Linked DNA regions of Sus scrofa. The protein of the gene in region 1 interacts with the protein of each later gene in a biochemical or structural test. Links are inferred from orthologs where the notes say so. Each region holds a gene or a part of one and is shown in the gene's direction. Other genes may lie near its edges. The genes, in order: GABARAP, RETREG1 and STK3.

What was found.
Region 2: the proteins of GABARAP (region 1) and RETREG1 are reported together in a solved structure, tested with the Homo sapiens proteins (2 studies listed by BioGRID, with this or other methods). The link is inferred for Sus scrofa from reciprocal best matches to the Homo sapiens genes GABARAP and RETREG1.
Region 3: the proteins of GABARAP (region 1) and STK3 form a complex in vitro, tested with the Homo sapiens proteins (2 studies listed by BioGRID and IntAct). The link is inferred for Sus scrofa from reciprocal best matches to the Homo sapiens genes GABARAP and STK3.

The regions. Positions count from the first base shown.
Region 1 is NC_010454.4:52,594,797-52,599,299, reverse strand, and holds GABARAP (gamma-aminobutyric acid receptor-associated protein), read left to right. Parts: upstream 1-1,133; 5' UTR 1,134-1,239; coding exon 1,240-1,329; intron 1,330-1,871; coding exon 1,872-1,950; intron 1,951-2,089; coding exon 2,090-2,208; intron 2,209-2,675; coding exon 2,676-2,741; 3' UTR 2,742-3,170; downstream 3,171-4,503. Other genes in the region: PHF23 (PHD finger protein 23), read left to right, coding at 4,268-4,301. UniProt on the Homo sapiens protein: Ubiquitin-like modifier that plays a role in intracellular transport of GABA(A) receptors and its interaction with the cytoskeleton.
Region 2 is NC_010458.4:5,876,464-5,881,318, reverse strand, and holds the start of RETREG1 (reticulophagy receptor FAM134B), read left to right. Parts: upstream 1-1,857; 5' UTR 1,858-2,022; coding exon 2,023-2,327; intron 2,328-4,855. UniProt on the Homo sapiens protein: Endoplasmic reticulum (ER)-anchored autophagy regulator which mediates ER delivery into lysosomes through sequestration into autophagosomes.
Region 3 is NC_010446.5:38,304,002-38,307,994, forward strand, and holds the end of STK3 (serine/threonine-protein kinase 3), read left to right. Parts: intron 1-1,408; coding exon 1,409-1,567; 3' UTR 1,568-2,776; downstream 2,777-3,993. UniProt on the Homo sapiens protein: Stress-activated, pro-apoptotic kinase which, following caspase-cleavage, enters the nucleus and induces chromatin condensation followed by internucleosomal DNA fragmentation.

The DNA.
Region 1 (4,503 bases):
CTAGAGTCCCTCAGACCTGTAACGAGCTTTCTCTTTTTTTCTTTCGTCTACTTAAACCATGCATTATAACTTTGAAACCAAAGCTGCCCTAGGTCCTTCTCTGGGTTTGGGGGAAATGAAGGGGCTTTGTTCACACCCACCCTGGCTCTGGGCAGAGGGTAAGGAGCAAGCTGTTGACCTGAGGGGAGGGTGTTGGCCACCCTGGCGGGGAGGGTCTTAGTGGCAGGATGATACCCTGGCCGGGAGCGAAAGAACAGCCCTGTGTCCAGAGGGAATGTGAGCTTCCGAACAGTAACACAGAAAAGTTTGAAAGGAAAAGAGAACTGGACGCTGGGAGAGGCCTGGCTTCGTCTGCGGGCCTGACTTAGACTAGCTGAGCGGGCGCAGCCCCCCGGGGGCGGAGGGGGGGGTGTCCCAGGCCCCTGGCGCCCCACCTCCCTCCCCTTGGCCCTGCTCCCCCAGCCGCAGCCGGCTCTACTTCCTCGCACTCGCCACGTGACGCCCCGCCCTTCTCTGCGATCACATGATCTCTCCGTGAGCCGCGAAGACTGTGTTCCTCCGCGCTGACGTAGTCCCTACCTTTCAGACCTCTCCAGTCCCTATTCGTCCACTCATTCCTGGAACCTAAGCATTCTGGAAACATAAGCGTCTTTCCAAACATAGGTCTCGTTTCTGCCCTCCTCTGTTTCCAAAGACCGCTTGCTCCATTGGGGTACTACTTTGTTTTGGTGTCAACCGCCGCCTTCAGCGTACCAGCACCTTTCCTGAATAGCTGTCCTTGTAATTATCTGCTTTTTTACCTCTGTTACTTCTGAAAAGCACTTTCGGAGAACCAAGTCTCAAATTATGATTACCATCTCCAAGCCCTTTTCATCCTGTGGAAAAAGTCAGGAAATGGGTTTTCAGTTATTTTCTATGATAGCAAAAAGCCAGCCACCTTTCCTACGTCGCCTGCGTAGCCCGTAAATTGATTCCAAAGCGATTACGCTGATTGCGTGAGGGGGGAGGTCAGTAGGTGGCGCTACGCTAGTGGCGTTGGGGCCACTGAGCTAGGAGCGTAACATAGCGAGTGGGGCGGCCTCTGACGGCCGGGGGCGGGGTTGGTGAATAGGGAAGTGGCGCAAGGTCCGGGATCGCTCCGCTGAATCCGCCCGCGCGTCGCCGCCGTCGCCGCCGCCCCCCATCCCGGCCCCCCCGGGTTCCCTCAGCCCAGCCCGGTCCAACCCGGTTCCCGGGAGGATGAAGTTCGTGTATAAAGAAGAGCATCCGTTCGAGAAGCGTCGCTCTGAGGGCGAGAAGATCCGAAAGAAATACCCGGACCGGGTGCCGGTGAGGACAGTAGCCAGGGCCGAGGGCGCGGGGCGCTGGCGCTGACGCCACAGCCTGGGCTTGAGTCCGAGACCCGCAGCGCGGGCATCAGGCTGCCAGCTGTGGCAGGGTTGGGAATGAGCCCGAAACTGCTGTCTGTGGGACTGGAGGTGAAAGGAGTGGGGTAGCATTAGAACTGGGGGGCTAGGGGATGTAGGCTTAAGGGGATGTAGGCGCGAGAGCTAGACCTTGGATTCGTGTAGGGCGTTTGACATTCCGAGCTTCACAGGGGGTGCTTGAGATTGAAGCTCTAGTCGGCCCAGACAAGACATGCCTGTTTGATTAAAATCATTGTTTGTTATGACGTCCTATTCAGGGATTCTGGAGGTTTAGGTGAGTTTGAGTCAGTGGGATCAGAATCCCTGCTCAGGACTGCGCCGCGTGTTCAGAGACAAAGAGAAATGAGTCTGGGGTAGGTAGGGATGCTAGGAATGTTGAGTTCTTGACAGGTGGAGCTGTGGGCCTGTATACCTAATGTCTCCTAATTTTCGTCTCTTTATCAGGTGATAGTAGAAAAGGCTCCCAAAGCTCGGATAGGAGACCTAGATAAAAAGAAATACCTGGTGCCTTCTGATCTCACAGGTGAGAACCTGACCCAGTAGCCAGGTTTGCTTCCTGGGGGGTGGGAATGTGGTCTCTGCTGGAGGAGGCTCCACATAGCAGCTGTTCTTTTGAAGGCGTTTGTGACCTCAGACTTTCTCAGACCTTGTTTCTTTGGCAGTTGGTCAGTTCTACTTCTTGATCCGGAAGCGAATTCATCTCCGAGCTGAGGATGCCTTGTTTTTCTTTGTCAACAATGTCATTCCACCCACCAGTGCCACGATGGGTCAGCTGTACCAGGTATAGTGTCTGGGAAGTAGTGGAGGCTTTGGAGAGGAGTTGGAAGCACTTGAGAGGCAGGAAGTTTTAAGTCAGCAGGTCTTGGACTAGTTGGCTTACTTAGCTCTCAGTTTTAAATTTGGCTTTAAAATCTCCTTATAGTTCTGGGTTGGGGATTTAGACAGGGCAGTGGGAGTAGAGAGAAAAGAGAACAGTGAGTTGGAGCAACTGTTGTGATCTGGACTTTCCCCAGGCCCCTCCCCATTTCGAGGCAGCAGAGAACAATGTGTGATTTTTATGCCTAGGACTGCTGCTAGGATAATACTGCTCAGCCGCTAGGGTCTGGAGCAAGTGAGAGGGAGAGTCAAAGCACTGGTTTTGGGGGTCTTCAAAAAGAATGTTTTTGGAAGAATGTGCCTGGGTGGTGGTTGGTTCAAGTAATTAAAGCCCAGGTGCCTGAGCACTGTCATTTTCTGCTTTCACCCCAGGAACACCATGAAGAAGACTTCTTTCTGTACATTGCCTACAGTGATGAAAGTGTCTATGGTCTGTGAAGCTGCTGCCCTTAAGGTCGGGGGTCCCATTCTTCAGACAGAGAGAGGTGGCCCACCTTCCTCGACCTGTCCTTCCTTGAGGCTCAAACACCACCTCCTTTCTTCAGGACCTACACTTCCTAATGTTTGAGACTCTCCTCCAGCCCTTCTTAAAACAAGGGTTAATGGGGGAGATGGCCTCCAGTACTCCTTTCCTTCCCTTTCTCTACCACCTTCCCACTCAGCTTTAGACTTCTTGATTGTCCATCTCTGTCACATCCAGTGGTCGTTTTGGTTTCTGTTTCCTTTCTAACTGCCCAGGGGGCTCAGGATCCCAACAATCCCTTATTTTCACTACCTTCTTTTTGGGGGGTAGATGGAAGGGACTGAATTGTGGCGGGGAAGGTAGGATACACATCAATAAAGAGGAAACCACCAAGCTGAACTGGATTTTGCTTTGTGTTGCTGCCCTCTGCCTTTTGTTCTCTACTCAATGGGGGAAAGGGAGGTTGGAGGGATAGTAATGTATTTTTATTTCTTCTCCTTATGTTGGGCTTTTCCTTGTGCAGAGAAAGTGTGCTTTTGTTGTGATGGATGGAATACTCTGAGTATCATTTCATGAAAGTTGTGTTATGTACCCGTGTATAGATAGGGGCTTGAGGTTAAAAAAAGTTGGTTTTCTACTGTGGGTTCCAGTGGAGAAAGTTTGAAAGTACCTGCTTTGGATATCCCATCCAAGTTTGTCATAACCTTTTGAATCAAGGAAGGGTTTTTTCCAAGTGTGGAGCTGGTAAAAGAACTCTGTCCTCAGGTATATGTCCCTTAGCCAGACTCTGTGCCGGCGTGCGGGTTCCAGTAGAGTGGAATACAAGTTAGGGAGAAGACTGGGAGGAGGGAGCCATTATTACCACGAGAACTTCATCTCCCAGCAGCCAAGTCTCCGTGTAGCCGGAAGTGGGGCGGTCCCCGGGTGGAAAAAGAAGCCGCAGAATGAGGCAGTATGGTGGCCGAGAGATCTAATCCCTTCTTCCCCTTCTTTCTTAGCCCCGCCCCGCCTACATTTCCCAGAAGTCTACGCGCACTCTTCCGCTTTCCCCTCTGCTCCCAATCTCCCCGCCACTCCCCGGGGGAGGAGAGCGGTTTAGTACGCCTGCGCCAACCCATGGTTTGCTGGGAACTGAAGTTCCGGAGGCGTATGAAGTCCCCTTTCCGTCTTCCCCAGACGGACCACAATCCCCTTGATGCACTGCGCGTCGGCGCCCGCGAAGGGAGGAGGGAGGGAGGAGGAGGGAGGAGAGGAGGAGGAGGAGGAGGAGGAGGAGGAGGGAGCAGGCGGCCGGCGGCGCGGGGGGAGGGGGCCCGGTCCGGGAGTGCGGGAGGCAGTGGTAAAGGGAGGTGGCGGCAGCGGCTAGCGGACTCGAGTCACAACCAGGCCGAGGCAGACACCTCTGTGAAGCGAGGCAGTAGGAGCACCGAGCACCGGAGGCGGCACCGGGATCCCCGGCTCGGGGGAGGGGGGCGCCGGACCGGGAGGAGGGGAGGGGGCGATGCTGGAAGCCATGGCGGAGCCCAGTCCCGAAGGTGAGCTCTCGACCGGCACAGAGCCCTGAGCCGGCGGGGGGCGGGCGGGGAATCTATTGGCAAACTTGGAGGTCGAGCCCGGGAGCCCAGCGGGGGAGCGCGGGGAGGGGTCGGGGGCCTGCCCCTGGAGGTGGGAGAGCGACGAGTTGAGAGACCTTGGAGAAAGAGGAGTGGGAGACTGATCGGGGGGTAGCTGGAGATC
Region 2 (4,855 bases), on another chromosome or scaffold:
GCTGGGGGTTGAATCAGAGCTGCAGCTGCCAGCCTTCAGCACAACCACAGCAACGTGGGATCCACGCTGCATCTGTGACCTACACGGCAGCTTGCGGCAATGCCAGATCCTTAACCCACTGATCAAGGACAGGTATTGAACCTGCATCCTCATAGACACTATGTTGGATTCTTAATTGTTGAGCCACAATGGGAACTCTGATGTCCCTAATTTTTTTTTTTTTTACATTTTATTGAAGTACAGTTAATTTACAAGGTTGTGATAATTTCTGCTGCACCAATGTCCCTAATTTTGGATGCATGACTTAAGTGAGGTCTCATAGCCCTGAGTGAGTATTTCCATTACAGCAGTAATCGCAGTTGTCACTGGCCTCTCCTTGGACTGTGAGCTTCCTGTGGGTGGAAGCCATATCGACAGAGCTTAACAATGTGTTGGGCACATAGTAGGTGCTCAGCAACCTTTTGAGTGAACTAGGAATACACCCTCTTTAGGTATAACATACACACAGTAAAGTGCACACATCTGCAAGTACAGATCAATGCATTTCTACATATGGGTACATATATAATGACCACCAGATGAACTTTATAGAACATTCTCCAGAGTCTCCCTGGAAACAACTGGCTTTAACTGCTCTGGGAATGAGAGGCATCCCTCCTGTGAAGGAAGGTTGGTTGCCAGCAGTGAACTCCAAGAGGCTATAGGATGCTCTGACTCATCATAGGTAGACCGCTGTGGACAGGGGAAGGGACATTTTACCTTAGAGAAAAGTAAGAACAGGGATTAAAGAATAGAACATTTAAAAATGCAAATAGTGGGAGTTTCTGTTGTGGCTCAGAGGGTTAAGAATCCGACTAGTATCCAGGAGGATAAGAATTTGATCCCTGGCCTCGCTCAGTGGGTTAAGGACCCCGCAGTTGCCCTGAGCTGTGGTGTAGGTGGCAGACTCGGCTCAGATTCTGCACTGCTCTGGCTGTGATGTAGGCTGGTCGCTGAAGCTCCGATTAGACTCCTAACTTCCATATGTTGTGGGTGCGGCCCTAAAAAAAAAAAAATGCGATAATGAAAAGTGAGTGTAAACACTAATCCCCCACACTCACTCAGAAGCACCAGGGGGTGAGTCCCGGTACCCCTCTCACAGGGTCCTGCCCCTCTTCTGATGCCTGTGGTGACACAGAGACCACTTTGAATGACTGAAGTCTAGGGTGGCCAGACCTGCGTGACACATTCAAGGGGTTCTGCTAGTCAGCTCCCCTCTCACCTGTGCCTCTGAAGCCCAGCGTGCATCTGTGAGTCAGATGAATTTGCCCACAAGTCGGAGAGAGGAAGCCCCATCCCCCATCGCTGCGGCCTGTCGTTTCCTGACTTTTAAAACAAGAGGGCCAGACGCTCCTGAACCGACCCCCAATTTTTTTTCCTTTCATTTCTCAATCCAGCCTTTATACCATCACGTTATTCCCAGAGGACTAAAGACCTCTGCTACGGATGTGCAGGCTGTCCCTGCAAGGGCACTCGGTCTAGGTGGGGAATGGTTGCTGCCAGGGGAGGGGCCGCCTGTCACACACCCTTTAAGGCTGCAGGATGGGCGATCGGTGGCCCTGGAATGAGAAAGTGAGGATGTCCAACTGATTCTGCCCGTTGCCGTGACTTTTCTTTTAGATAAGACCGCTGGCGGCGGTCCTCTACCGCGTCTGGAAAGGAAAAAGGGGTCACGCTTCCCCGGTCCCAAGCTAGGCCACCGCTCCCCAGGGACGCCGCCCGCTCGCACCCCAGCGCGGGTTGGGGAGGCCGCCCGGCACCTCAATGCCCGCCGCCCGCCCCGCCCGGCCGCGCACGAACTTGGCCGCACCCACTTCCCCCGGGAGGCGCCCCGCCTCGGCCGGGGCTGACGTCACAAGGCACCCAGCCGCCCGCGCCCCGCGGTGCGCGCCCCGCACCAGGACCCGCCGCCCTCTCTGCGCGACTCCCAGGCACGCCCGCGCGCGTGCCCGTGCCCGTCCCCGCCCGCCAGCGCTGCTGAAGATGGCGAGCCCGGCGCCCAAGGAGCCAGCCGCGCAGGGATGCCCGGCTCCAGCCGCCGCGGAGCAGGCGCCGCCGCCCCGGGCTCCCGCCGAGGAGCAGGAGAAGGAAGCGCCAGAGGAAGGGGCGGCGGCGGCAGCGGGCGCGGGGCCGCAGGTGGAGGAGGCCGCAGGCGGGGTGGCCGCCGCGGTGACCTGGCTGCTGGGGGAGCCCGTGCTGTGGCTGGGCTGCCGCGCCGACGAGCTCCTGAGCTGGAGGAGGCCGCTGCGCAGCCTGCTTGCCTTCATCGGGGCCAACCTGCTGTTCTGGTGAGAGCTCAGGGTGGGTGGGGAGGCCCGGGGGCGGGGGGGGGGGCAGGTGACCTTGGGGCGCCCATGGGCAGGCGGAGGGCGCTCCCGGCCCCGGTGTAGGGGGTGCACGCGGGACCCAGCGGTGGAAGGTCTCAGCCCTGGCCCACTCTCTCTACTACCTTTCTGGAACAGGTAGACAGGCACTTCAACTTTCCTGCACACGCACTTCCCTGCAAACAGTGGTCATCCTCCGTGTGCATATATCCAGCCTCACAGGGGAGGTAGTAGACTGACCCGCCTGCACCTGGGCCGACAGGTGTGCGCAGAGCGTACTTGACCTTTGCCTTCTGAAACTCGCAGGTCTTGATCAGCTCGCCCAAAGCCTGCTGGACCACATCTACTTGGACTTGTATTCGTTTATACACCCAGAGCGGGCATATCTGGACCAGCTTAGGTCTCCATCGGCCACCTGAGATGGGCACTGAGTGATTTGTTTTTCCGTTCCCTGGAGAGTTGGGGTTACTGTCTTTACTCCCTGATGAGAAAACAAGAGGCAAACAGGTGGATTATGCTCAGCACCCCGCCCCCAACCCCCAGGTGTGCACAGTATGGGAAACAGTCGTGTTTGGGGTGAAGAACAGAGATAATACAAAGAAATGTTCTCTGAAAAGCCCCTGATCAACAGGTTTGTCCCTTCAAAAAGCACCCTTCACCTCTAAAGACAGGGGAAGTGTCTGACTCCTCAGTGAAGGATGTGCACTGTTATCTGTTACCAGACTGGTGGAGGGCGGAGAAAAGCCTTTGTTTGCAACTGTGTCTTCATAGCAAGCATGACCCATGCAGTCTAGGATAGGCAGAGTTTCAGTGACAGGTACCTTGTTACAGGACATAAGTTTCTTAACCTTTAAGTTAGAAAATAAATTATTGAACAACACATGGATAGCCTGCCCCTTTCTAGGTTAGATCTTTTAAGCTGGAGGCTTTTCCTGCAGATCTCTGTTCTTGCAGATCTAGTTCTGGTGTTCTCTTGAAATGAGCTGTTTCTTATCAGGGCCCCTGAATGTGAATTAACTTTTCTGGGATGTTTCTAGAGTATTCCTTCCATATTTCTCTAACCTGTTATGACGTTAACCATGAGCACTCAAACAAGGATGATATAGTGTGCGATGCTAGACTGGGCAGTGGTCCAGTAGTCTTAGGGCTGAGGCTCCTTCATTTTACCAGTGAGAGACATGTTTTTTTTTTTTTTAAATTCTTTGGTTTTAAATTCTATTTATTAAAAAATAGCTAATAGTCTCACAGTTCAAACATTTAAAGGTATAAAGGGATAAACACTTTGTAAATCTCTATCATGCCTGTCTCTGGCTACCCAGTTTCCTCCCAGAAGCAACCGATGTTACCAGATTACTGTGTATCTTTCCAGATAGTGCATATTTCAGCAAATACATAGTATTCTACACAAATTGCGGAATACCATCTGGACTACTTTTATTCTTGGTGTTCGATCACTTCCTTGTTCTTTTTCAGCTGCATAGAATCCCATAGTATCACTGTCACAGATTAATTTGTGGACTACTGATGGACCAACATTATTTCCAAACTTTTGCTCTTTCGATGTTGTAGCTAGTGGCCAGGCGGGAACAGGCATTATTTTGCATATAAGCCAGTGTTTCTGTAGCATAAATTCTCAGAAGTGGAATTGTTGAATCAGAGGGATGTGCACTAGTAATTTTGATGGCTATCACTGTATTATTGCGCTTCCATGGAGTTCTACCAAGTTATACTCCAACCAGCAACGTGTGTGACTGTCTGTTTCTCTATATACCCTTGCCAGCAGCATTTTATCAAACTTTTTGATTTGCAAATCTGATAGGTGAAAAAGGGTATCAAAATATGGTTTTAATTTGCATTTTTCTGAGGTTCAGCATGGTTTTCTTGTGTTCAAGAGCCATTGTAATTATCTTTGCTTTACCTGTTTACAGATAACTTTTGTCTGTATTTTTAATTGAGCCATTGGGCTTTTTCATATTGATTCATAGGAGCTCTTTTTATATTAAGAACTTTAGCCTGATTTCTGTTACATGAGTTGCAAATATTTTTTTCTATAATGTCTTCTTAGTAACATCTATTGAAATGAATGATTTTTGCATAAAGTAATTGAAAAGCATATTTGGTATTATTCAGGAGTGATGTCTTCCATCCATTTTTTAAAATAAGTGTGGTGACATGGAAATTTATTAATTTCACTGAAATGTTTTAGTTTTTTTCCCCACTGTTGTTTCTGAGGTTAAAACATTTTTCAAGGACATTGTTTTCTCTAAATAGTGTACTTCTTATCAAGCGACTTCTATTATGTGGCATTCTGTGTCCCAAGAACTCTAAAGCTCTCTATTTTTTTTGTGAGAAAAACAAAAAGGTCAATGTTAGAAACATGAGGAACCTTATGATGTTTTCACCTTAATTGGTGTTATTTCATTTTTGTGGAAATTAACTTTTTAAATGCATACTTCTGATTGGTTCAGTGCCTGGTGCCAGCAGTTGCTTTC
Region 3 (3,993 bases), on another chromosome or scaffold:
GCCCTAAAGGAAGCCTCTCTCCATTACATTTAAGGCAAGGGTCATTTCTTTTTTTAATCAGGAATCTTTAAAATCTTTTTTTAAAAAACAAAAAACAATGGATGCTTCCTTCAGGAAGATGTACACGAGAACATGCATAATTTTGCACAAGAAGCTTATTCATGGATTTAAGAATCTCTCACTGTCATCTGTACCACATAAAATAGGACTTAAGGTCTTGCATCAATCCTTAAAAGTTATAGTTGCTAATCTTACAACTAATTTGTAAGTTTCTCAAGGCAAGGAAATAGTACTTCTTTACTCTCTTACAGTTCCTACCAAGATAAGTAATAGCAAACGGTAAATCATTGTGCTTTAACAGATTTTTTTTAATTACCTGCCTGCCCCCATTGCTTTAAGAGTCAGTTTCTGAAGGAGACAAGAGTTCTGGATTTTTTTTGTTGTTGTTGTTAAAAGTGTTAGGTTATATATTTCAGGGCATCCTATGAGCCCTGAGGCAGTATCCCTAAAATATGTTTATCAGGAGATAACCCGTATCTTACTGACTTGACATATAAATAAATACAATAAATCTCAGGATGCCATAGATCCTGTTACATCGAACAGATTTTATCTCCCATTCACACAGGACATGAGGCCTGCCTTCTGTTGTTACACAGAAAACCAGTAAAGGATGCGCTGGTGGTATCCCCAGAAGCTAGCACAATAAAACTAAATCATTCAGTCAAATCATACCATTACTGTATAATGTATACAGTGAACATGTGAGAAGTATTTCACTTTCAAATTGGCCAAGCCCCATGTCAGAACTTACATGGCACTGTTTGTACTAGATTTAGGTTATTTTGAATCATAAGCCCTATTCTATCAAAATGCTTGGGGTAAAAGTATTCTGGATCATTTAATTTTCTGATTAACCAAGTGCTTAAAATTTAAGCCTTTGGTAAAATGCAGGCTAGAGCAGTCAATTTAAGCTGTATTCAGTCTTGTCACATTCTTGGGGGATCTCTGCAAGTATCTGTGATTGCTGTAGCGCTCCACAGCTGGCGAGGCTGTGCGAGATCAGAGGGAATACATCCCCAACTTAGCCAGAAAGTCTGTTTGGTGACAATGGTGGATGTATCTTTCTGCCTTTTTTAAACACACATTTTTGTTAGCTTATTTTTCTCATTTGTTCTTTCCTAAAAGCAGAAGGGTTTTTTTTTGTTTTTGTTTTACTGTTTCATTGCAAATTACTTGAGGTTCTTTCTCGCAAGATGTGGCTTCCTGATTCTTCAAGGAAAGAATTCATGTTTTAATTGTTGAGCCATATTTCAAAGATGATGTAAAGAGTTGAAATATTCCTGCTAAAATTCATTAGACTTTAACCCATTATAGATAATTATTACTTTTTTTTCCTTACACTCAGTTAAAAAATCTAAGTTTAGAAGAACTACAGATGCGGTTAAAAGCGCTGGACCCCATGATGGAGCGAGAAATAGAAGAGCTCCGTCAGAGATACACTGCGAAAAGACAACCCATTCTGGATGCGATGGATGCCAAGAAAAGAAGGCAGCAGAACTTTTGAATCTAATTTCTCCTCTGTTTGTTTCTATGACTGTTCTGGAGACCAAGAAACCACTAAGAATTGAAGGGGTATTATGCTATCTTTTTCAATCTCTTAAGATCCGTGCTCTACAACCAGGCAGCAGTCAAAAACTGACGATGGTACAAACCCAGGTAAATTCCCCAAAGACAGAATTTAATACTGTATCCACTGTGTTTTCATTTTTTAAATAATGAAAACAGCAGAAATGGTGTTCTCTACATCTGTCAGCTGCATACCAGTACTAAAACTGTGTTTTAAAACGAAGGCTGTGTTTAGAAACCTTGAAAATCCAAAGCTGTTGTGTAATTGTACAGCACCGAAGGGCTTTATGTTACAGTATTCTTTATTCTTTTCTATTAGCCTATTTATTGTATCCCTTTAGGTAAACTTATTTATTTATGCTATTTCACCTTGTTTTGTTTTTTAAGGACAAGATCAGGATAGCTTTGGTGAAGGCAGGGACTATTACTAGATGATAATGAACAACCCAATTATACTGTAAGCAGGGAGCTCTGGGGTACATGCTTTCATTTCCAGGATAGTTTTCCAATAGAAGCAAAGCAATAATAGCAATAGTACCCAAAGGGCCCAGGCATTTTTTTATACAGAAGCAATAATTCCATTTTTACCTTCTGAAGTTTTAATTTTTTATTTTTGATGCTTGGTACAAATAAAACTATATATATTTAGGTCAGACAGAGCTGTAATGTTTAAAACCAAAGAAATCAATGGAACCCTTGCACAAAAAAGCATGGTAAATTTTTTAAAAGAAATAATTCCTTAAGACAAATGTAATTGTGAATATTGTTTCATGTGTAGGTCTCATAGCTAAACTGTATCAAATTGTAATAAGCTCATGACATTTTTTCTGTGAAAATGTGCTCAGTTGTCACCAGACATTTTTGTTGATTTCATTTATTTCCTGGGAATTGGTAAACATCATGTGCCTGATGATAGCAAAATAGCAGAAACATTTGTACTGAACTGTGCAAGCCTTGGGGACTGATAAAGATTAAAACTATTAAAAAGAAACTCATTTCTAAGCTGAATGAACATTTGCATGATTGAACTGGGACCAGTCATTTTCCTAAGCTACATATGGCCATCTTGACAGCGTTTGTTCTTTTGTGTGTTTAATTACTACATGTAAATCATAAAGACAAATAAATTTTACTGTGCCACCCAACACATTTCATCTCTGTATCTTTTTTTAAAAAACTCATGACCTGGATTCTGTCTTTTCCAGGGCAAGGAAGGTATATTTGTCTGGACAGGCTAGATTATGCTGTGATAACAACTCTGAACCCTTCAGTGGCTTACCGCTAGCCAGGTTATTTGGCACTTGTGTGCCCTGCTCCCATCTTTCATACCCAGGGACCCTGCTGACAAAGCTGTAACATCAGTGCTCACCACATGCTGACAGGCTCACTAATGACTACCTCAGGAGGTGTGTCATCTCTGGAAACTTCTGTTCTCCAAAATGGCAGCGTTGGGGAGTTCCCGTTGTGGCGCAGTGGAAACAAATCCAACTAGCAACCATGAGGTTGCAGGTTTGAGCCCTGGCCTCACTTGATGGGTAAGGATCCAGTGTTGCTGTGAGCTGTGGTGTAGGCCAGAGGCTACAGCTCTGATTCAAACCCCTAGCCTAGAAACCTCCGTATGCCATGGAGGTTCCATTTTCACTAAAAAGCAAAAATAAAACTAAAATAAAATAAAATGGCATTGTGCCCCAGGTAATGCCTGGAGTAGTGTTTCTTTTGCTGTGTTGAGTCCTTACAACTAGTAAACTGTGTAACTGGATACAAATTATAAGATCATTAAAATAGTGGAAAATATTGAAATTTTTATAAGTTATTAAAATATGAAAACTGAATTTACAACATATACTTCAGCTACATCTGTTTGGGGCAGTCAGGGGAGTCAATCAAACAGCCCACCCTTTATTTCTGTTTCTTAATTGCTTTTCTTTTCAGAATTGCCTAATACCTCACCAAATTTGATGAAATCAAATGACTGATTTGCTATCATCCAAGTAAAACCACCTAAATGAAATGACAAGAAACCTATGAAGATGATTTTGCTCCAGTTTGCTCAACTAGACAATTTATTACTAATAGGCTCAATAAGAGTCTGCCTTTTAATAATATCCCATGTTCCAATCCCAATTTTTATGTAAATACTTTATATAAAGTTGTTACTGTTATATTTATCATTATACACACACCCCTTTATCCAGAACATTTTTAGATAATCTGTCTTAAATTTTTCCCATCTTCTCACTCTACCCGCCACCAATCAAAAATAGGAATTTAAAGTTTTGAAGAACCAAAAGCCATGAGAAAAATCTTCAAGTCTAGGTCAGCCATGATTAATGGTTATTCTTAGGAAAGAGTTTTCTGTTACTT